Linked DNA regions of Xenopus tropicalis. The protein of the gene in region 2 purifies or fractionates together with the protein of the main gene of each other region. This does not show direct contact. Links are inferred from orthologs where the notes say so. Each region holds a gene or a part of one and is shown on either strand. Other genes may lie near its edges.

Region 1 (4,053 bases), on a different chromosome or scaffold from region 2:
CCGGGCACCCTAGGCGACCCAGCCAGCCACCTCGCCCCCACAGCTTCCCCCTCCCTGCGTGTGCACGAATGCATGCAAACGCTGGGACGCCCTGGAGGGGGATTGCTTCACGCAAGGCACACAGATGCAGTGCAGGGAGGGAGTCCTTGGGAAATCAAATGTGGGGGTAAGAGATCCCAGACTAGGGGTGGCAACAGAGGTACCTGCCTAGCGTCCCCTCAAAGTTGCGCCCTAGGCAGGTGCCTCTTCTGCCTACCCCTAGTTCTGGCCCTGACTGGTCAGGAAACGGCATCACTGAGAAACATACGTAGCCCTTGGTCACCCTGGCAGCTGATTTGTAAGCCATGGGTGAGAACATGCTGCACAAATGCTTACACTGAAGGTAGCATAGAGCAGACACATTATATATCAACACGAAAGAGGAGTGGATCACGTGGGAGAAAAATATGATGTAAGGGCTGGATTTTGCAGAATGTCTTGTCTTTAGAAAGAGAAGCTTTGCAGAAAAAGAAAAACAGACTATGATATCCAAAAAGAAAAAAATCTGTTTTATTTATGTAGAGAACAAAACAAAAAGTGTTATGAAGACAGGTGATTTTACCAGGCAAGAGCTTTCTGGGCAGAGGTGAAAGTAGGATGACTAGTCACGCTCAGCTAGTGCAACAAGGTGGACATCAATCTCTGCTTCTGTAAGAACTCTATAACCACAAAAAAAAAAGTGTTACAATTTATAAATATTTATTACTTATTTACAGACAAGTATAGGTCTCAGGACTGAAAAATACCATAATGCTGTATATGGTATTTGTTATAGTAGAATGTCTCACTTATTTCTGCTGGGGCTTTTTTAAGAAAACTCATTATGAGCAAACTTTTCCAGTTCTGTGCATTTATAGGAATTAGTTCAAAAAAGGTATTCAATTTATCACTACTATAAAAAAAAAGGCATGGTTTCATGGTATTGTTTATTTGGCCAATAAGGAATGCTCTTTCCTTTTAAATGCTCCATACAATTACAGACCTGAATTTTGGATCCTCGACTGTGACGACTCCCACCTCCAGTTCTGAAGGTTTGAAATCAATAGACAGTACCGTGGAGAGACAAGAAATGGCTGTCTGAAATGAGAAAATTCATATTTTTGTTAAATTCTAAAGTAGATCAGATTTTTCAGCAGCTTGATCTTGCAGTATAGCTAGGTGTGCGTAAATGACATTGTTTGTGCTTAGGGGTGCCTCTTCAGTGTCAATATTCTATTGTTCATGGCTGTCACCTCAAGTTTCCCTTAGTTTACATATTAACACTATCAACAGCAATGCTAACATTATTGTTAAACATCCATTCTATCCCCCTCTAACAACACATCTACCCTGTGCAGTGTTTATTATTTTAAGTGCTTTATGCAAATACACCATAAAAAGTTATCTTTCTGCGAGGCAGTAGGGTGACTTGAACTGTGCACCTCCGGTTGCTACAGGGTTTCTAACCCCTTGTAAGCTCTCGGTTTCTTTGTTTATATTCTTGCAAATTATGTTCCAGGGAAGGGTGTGCATTGGCAGCATTACTTCATTATTGCTGTAAGCGCTGCGAGCAACTGAAGAAATATGTGCACTGACTTTGTAGAATTACAGCTGACCTGTGTGATGCCTTCGCTGCTTGCAGCACTTTCAGCAATAAATCACCCTAAGTAAATAACACAAGGGGCTAGAAAATCCTTATAGCTGCAGTAACTGGCTTCCGGTTTCAGGAGGAGATGTGGAGTGCGCACGTAGGGTCTTGCACAATTTGTGTGGCCCTATTGCTTTTTTTTTTTTTTTTTTTTTAAAACAGCAGGAAGATAACCTGTTTTTTTTGGTATTTTTTGTGCAGGGCAGATGTACTGTCAGAATGAGAGAGAATGGATTTTTAACATAATCATTTTTAGTTTTACTGGTCCTTTAAGTTTAAGTAGAATAGGGCTTGTGCTAAACATACTGTTTGCCTTAGGAAATATTTATGGTTTTTAATTTGTTATTTTATATCACTTGGGAGCCTCTGCAGAGCTGCCCTTTATCTTAAAAGATAACAGGCAGTAGCTGGGGAAAGGGAGGGGTTTATTCATACAAAGTGGACTGCTTTGTTTCACTTTGCTAACTGAGACCAGGAAGTAGAATGAAATTTTAGTTCAATTTTCAAATGTAATAGATTTGTATACTGCCCCTTTAAACAGGAGCTCTTATCCATGTTTAGCCAATAACTGAAATGTCTGCGGCCTGGAATATCCTACTACTGCTCTTTGTGGATAGAGTTTAGGGAGGACGCTTTCCTTTTTCAGCACAGGTCATGCTAACTGCATGAAGTGAGGACCACACAAAACTGATTTGCTGAGTTAGATGTTGAAGAACTTGACTGGAACATAAACACCTGCAGGACGAAGTGAGAGGCCAACTCTGAGCTAGGCCTGACAAATATCAGGGGCTAAAATAATCAATGCTTGTGGAGGTATAACACTGTCCCAATGTAGTGGGTAGTCTTCCCAGCAAAGAGAAGTTATTATAGCTGCAAAGAGAGGACTAACTTCATATTAATACCCTTGGTTTTGCAATGAGGGAATTTGTCTTAAAATGCTCTGAAATGCGTCAGCCACTAAGCACTCTAAGGGAAAACGGAAAAAGTACAAATAGTATGCATACACCGGTTACCAAGGTGAGAGGTTTTTACTCTGCTTCTGCATTCCTTGTGTGCAGTGAAGAAATGGTAGGAAATTACAAAACACAGGCTGCATTATTATTTAAGGGAGGGCAAATAGGGTAGATGAAAGGTAGCAGTGAGTGTACAGGGAAATGCAGAAGGGTGGGCAGTAACTGTGGGTTAAAAAAAATGATTTTCCATGCTACCTCAAGAGTCTGCTCATAAGTCCAGTCCAATTTCTTCTTTACTTTCTTTTCTAGGAAGCTGGTGGCCTCAGTTTGCTTCACTCCAGCTGTGGTAGCCTTAAAGCCACAATAGTAGCCTGCAGGATCACATTTAAAGACTTGTGGTCCATTCTCCTCATCCACTCCAATTAGGATCATGCCTACAATATTTTAAAAAGAGGCAAAGAAGAAAAATAAATCCCCACACAATGAAACAAAACTTGTAAATGCATTGCAAGCTGTCTTTACGTGAGCAGAAAAACCTGGTGTGCATCACCAATTCTACATCTAAAGAGTTAATTTATATGTTAATTTATAAATCATAAGCGCAATGTCTTTCTCAATATTTTGAGAACACTTACAACATCCTAAGGGCCTCATTTCAGCATTCTGTGTGTATACTTGAGAAATATCCGCAATCCTTTTACAAAGCATATCTACTGGGATTTCATAGCCGTATTTGTACTTCCAATTTGCAGCCTCATAACGTGCCCGCTGGACCTGCGACCTGCTGTCAGCTAGTGAGAGAGAGAAGGGACAATGTCTTATAAAACGTAAAAGGCTTTAAAATGTAAAGAGCTTAAAAAGCGCAGAGAAACAATATGCAGCATTAAGAAGCTAAAAAGATAGATGGTCTCATTTACAACCAGGGCCTTTAGCTTTGATGTGGCTAATATATGGCGATTAAGCAAAATACCTGTCATTCCGGTCATTACACAGCCAATGGATTCAGTAATCCGGAATAAATGGGTTACTGTGTTGCTGTCCAACAGCTTGTCCTGTGAAGGGAATGATATCACTTAAAATTCAGGAAAAATAAAAGTACATAAACTTGCCTAACTTTGGAAGAACACCAGGGAAACAGAAAGTCTGAAATGGGACAGTAATCACCTTCCACCCCCTCTCACTCTATAAACAGGTAATTTGTTCAGAGTTCCAAAACTCTGAACAGCTCATTATCACGGGGCTTTTCACTGGACAGGTAATTTGTTTTAACAGCTCCTTCTCTGCTTAGCAGAACAAGGAAGTGCTAAAGTAAAAGTGATTTTTTTTACTTATTTGTAAAATTCATAAAATTACAAAAACAGATATTTTCATTTAAAACAATAAGCAAAAGCTATGTTCAGCACAAGCCCTATTGTTTGAACTCATTTTGGAAAA
Region 2 (3,135 bases):
ATATAGAAACATTGGGGTAACAGTCACCTCGCTATAGTTCCAGGGGTACCCAGGGCACAAATAAGCACTCACCCCAAATCCCCCCCTAACTGGCCTTCAGGCTGGGCCCCCTTAGCCATAACAAGGTTACAGATATATAGAAACATTGGGGTAACAGTCACCCTGCTATAGTTCCAGGGGTACCCAGGGCACAAATAAGCACTCACCCCAAATCCCCCCTAACTGGCCTTCAGGCTGGGCCCCCTTAGCCCATAACAAGGTTACAGATATATAGAAACATTGGGGTAACAGTCACCCTGCTATAGTTCCAGGGGTACCCAGGGCACAAATAAGCACTCACCCCAAATCCCCCCCTAACTGGCCTTCAGGCTGGGCCCCCTTAGCCCATAACAAGGTTACAGATATATAGAAACATTGGGGTAACAGTCACCCTGCTATAGTTCCAGGGGTACCCAGGAGGGGTGGGGGGGGGGTTCTACTCTGCAGGTTCCCACCTTCTGGCCGAGGATTATTTCTATTTTCTGTTCTCTGTATTTGTATTTATTTATTGATGTCATAAATAATAAAAAAAAAAAAAAAAAGTTTCCCCAAGCCCCCGCTCTTAATTATTCTTAACAAACAGTTCTATTAGTAATAGAAACACCCCAGTGGGGGGGTAACTGCCCCCATTTGCCCCATGTACCCCAGATAATAACAAAGCAGGAAGTCCAGCGCCAGGGGCTTATTCACAACTTAAGGGGAAACATCCAGTGCAACAGTCCGACCTCCGAATGTCTCCGACCCCCCCGGGAGTTCATATGAAGCCCCTCCGGATGTCGGGGCCCCTTCCTCTGCTGGGGCGGAGACTGCTGGGCCCCGGGATCGATGGGTCGCTCTCAGAAAAGGGGACTGTGACTTTAAAGGGGTTGGATAAGGGACTGAAGTGCGAGGAAGTCGGCCCGACTCGGGGGATGAAACTGGGGTCCAGGATAGGGGGGAAGGGCCTTTGGTCGTATTCACCCCCGATGATACCCGGAGGGTAATTTAAGTCAGGGGGGAAGATGTTGGGGTAATAAGGGTAAGGGTGGGTGATCCTGGGGGGCAGGAAGTGCCGGCGTACAAAGCGGCTGCGCTCCATCTTCTGCTTGTACTTCTCCCTGTAGAGCTGCAACACAAACAAAGATGGCGGCCCTTATACTGAGTTGCACCCAAGGCCCCGGCCCATATCTACAGTAACAGCACCCACCTTTTTCCAATCCATGTCCAAACTCCTTGGAAGGTTATCTGTTCAACAGCAAAGCATAGAGTTAGTGCTGATCCCTAACAGCATTGCCACAAAGCAACATAAACCCAAGATACCAAAACTTTGCCTTTTAGTGCTGATCCCTAACAGCATTGCCACAAAGCAGTGCACCCAAACTGCTGCAATTGGTTTTTGTACTATTTAGCTTGGGATTTCAGCAGCTATCTGGGTGCTAAGGTCCGAATTATCCTAGCAACCAGGCAGTGGTTGGAATAACAGACTAGAATATGAATAGGAGAAGTTTTTGAATAAAAAGATAGTCCAATAATAATAATAAAAAATAAAGACCAATTGAAAAGCTGATCATTTGCAATTCTATAACATACAAGTTAACATAAAGGTGAACCGCCCCTTTAAGAACAATATGGCGGCTATAACTGCAAATCGGATCTGCCGGGTTACCCCCTCACCCCCAGTGTTGCAAGGCACAAGAATATGTGGGTGCAGTGTCCCTAAATTTGTACTCACTCCGGAAGTCTCGGACGCACAGGAACCGCCACAGGGAGGGGTCGTTGGTGTCGGCCAAGAACTCCTTACAGGTGGCCGAGAGGCTGAGAAGGGAGCGAATGTCCAACAGGCGGAAAATCCTGAGCTTGAGCTCCGGGGGGAGAACGAGTAGCCCGAACACATCCGGGAGGTTCAGCACTGAGACGGGAAAGGAAGGAGATGTAATAACGGCTATAACTGGGGGGGGGGGGGGGGGGGAAGTGGCCAATAGCGGCCCGGGGCGGACTGTTACCTTGCCGGGCAGCAGCAAGCAGAGGGTAGGCCACCTGGTCTTTAAACTGCCCCGATAACTTCTGCAGATCCTTATACACAGAGGCAATGTTGTTATCTGTGGGGGGAACATGAAGATGCTGAATCCTACTACCCCCTACTGTAAATGATAAGGATATTAGCAGTCACTGAGGGGTTCTGTGCCCCCCATATAAAGGCACAAGGCTGCAGGCTGAGTTATACAGGGAACTCTGAGTATCACTCATGTATTATAAGGGATAATGTACCCCCTACTGTAAATGATAAGGATATTAGCAGTCACTGAGGGGTTCTGTGCCCCCCATATAAAGGCACAAGGCTGCAGGCTGAGTTATACAGGGAACTCTGAGTATCACTCATGTATTATAAGGGATAATGTACCCCCTACTGTAAATGATAAGGATATTAGCAGTCACTGAGGGGTTCTGTGCCCCCCATATAAAGGCACAAGGCTGCAGGCTGAGTTATACAGGGAACTCTGAGTATCACTCATGTATTATAAGGGATAATGTACCCCCTACTGTAAATGATAAGGATATTAGCAGTCACTGAGGGGTTCTGTGCCCCCCATATAAAGGCACAAGGCTGCAGGCTGAGTTATACAGGGAACTCTGAGTATCACTCATGTATTATAAGGGATAATGTACCCCCTACTGTAAATGATAAGGATATTAGCAGTCACTGAGGGGTTCTGTGACCCCCATATAAAGGCACAAGGCTGCAGGCTGAGTTATACAGGGAACTCTGAGTATCACTCATGTATTATAAGGGATAATGTACCCCCTACTGTAAATGATAAGGATATTAGCAGTCACTGAGGGGTTCTGTGCCCCCCATATAAAGGCACAAGGCTGCAGGCTGAGTTATACAGGGAACTCTGAGTATCACTCATGTATTATAAGGGATAATGTACCCCCTACTGTAAATGATAAGGATATTAGCAGTCACTGAGGGGTTCTGTGCCCATATAAAGGCACAACACCAAAGGCCGAGTGCTTTTATACAGATCATGGAACGGAATATAAGGTGACTATTTTACAACAGGGGGTACCTTATTTATTATAACACATCATGTGATACAGATGACATCACTGAGC

What was found. The genes of interacting proteins can lie anywhere in the genome.
Region 1: the proteins of fbxo7 (region 2) and psma6 purify together in Homo sapiens (affinity purification with mass spectrometry; 3 studies listed by BioGRID and IntAct, with this or other methods). This does not show direct contact. The link is inferred for Xenopus tropicalis from reciprocal best matches to the Homo sapiens genes FBXO7 and PSMA6.

Annotation. Positions count from the first base shown.
Region 1 is NC_030684.2:109,490,985-109,495,037, reverse strand, and holds the end of psma6 (proteasome subunit alpha type-6), read right to left. Parts: intron 3,672-4,053; coding exon 3,590-3,671; intron 3,411-3,589; coding exon 3,255-3,410; intron 3,054-3,254; coding exon 2,875-3,053; intron 1,117-2,874; coding exon 1,022-1,116; intron 699-1,021; coding exon 641-698; 3' UTR 528-640; downstream 1-527. UniProt on the Homo sapiens protein: Component of the 20S core proteasome complex involved in the proteolytic degradation of most intracellular proteins. This complex plays numerous essential roles within the cell by associating with different regulatory particles.
Region 2 is NC_030679.2:7,490,008-7,493,142, forward strand, and holds the end of fbxo7 (F-box only protein 7), read right to left. Parts: intron 2,118-3,135; coding exon 2,022-2,117; intron 1,928-2,021; coding exon 1,751-1,927; intron 1,264-1,750; coding exon 1,226-1,263; intron 1,145-1,225; coding exon 794-1,144; 3' UTR 525-793; downstream 1-524. UniProt on the Homo sapiens protein: Substrate recognition component of a SCF (SKP1-CUL1-F-box protein) E3 ubiquitin-protein ligase complex which mediates the ubiquitination and subsequent proteasomal degradation of target proteins and plays a role in several biological processes such as cell cycle, cell proliferation, or maintenance of chromosome stability.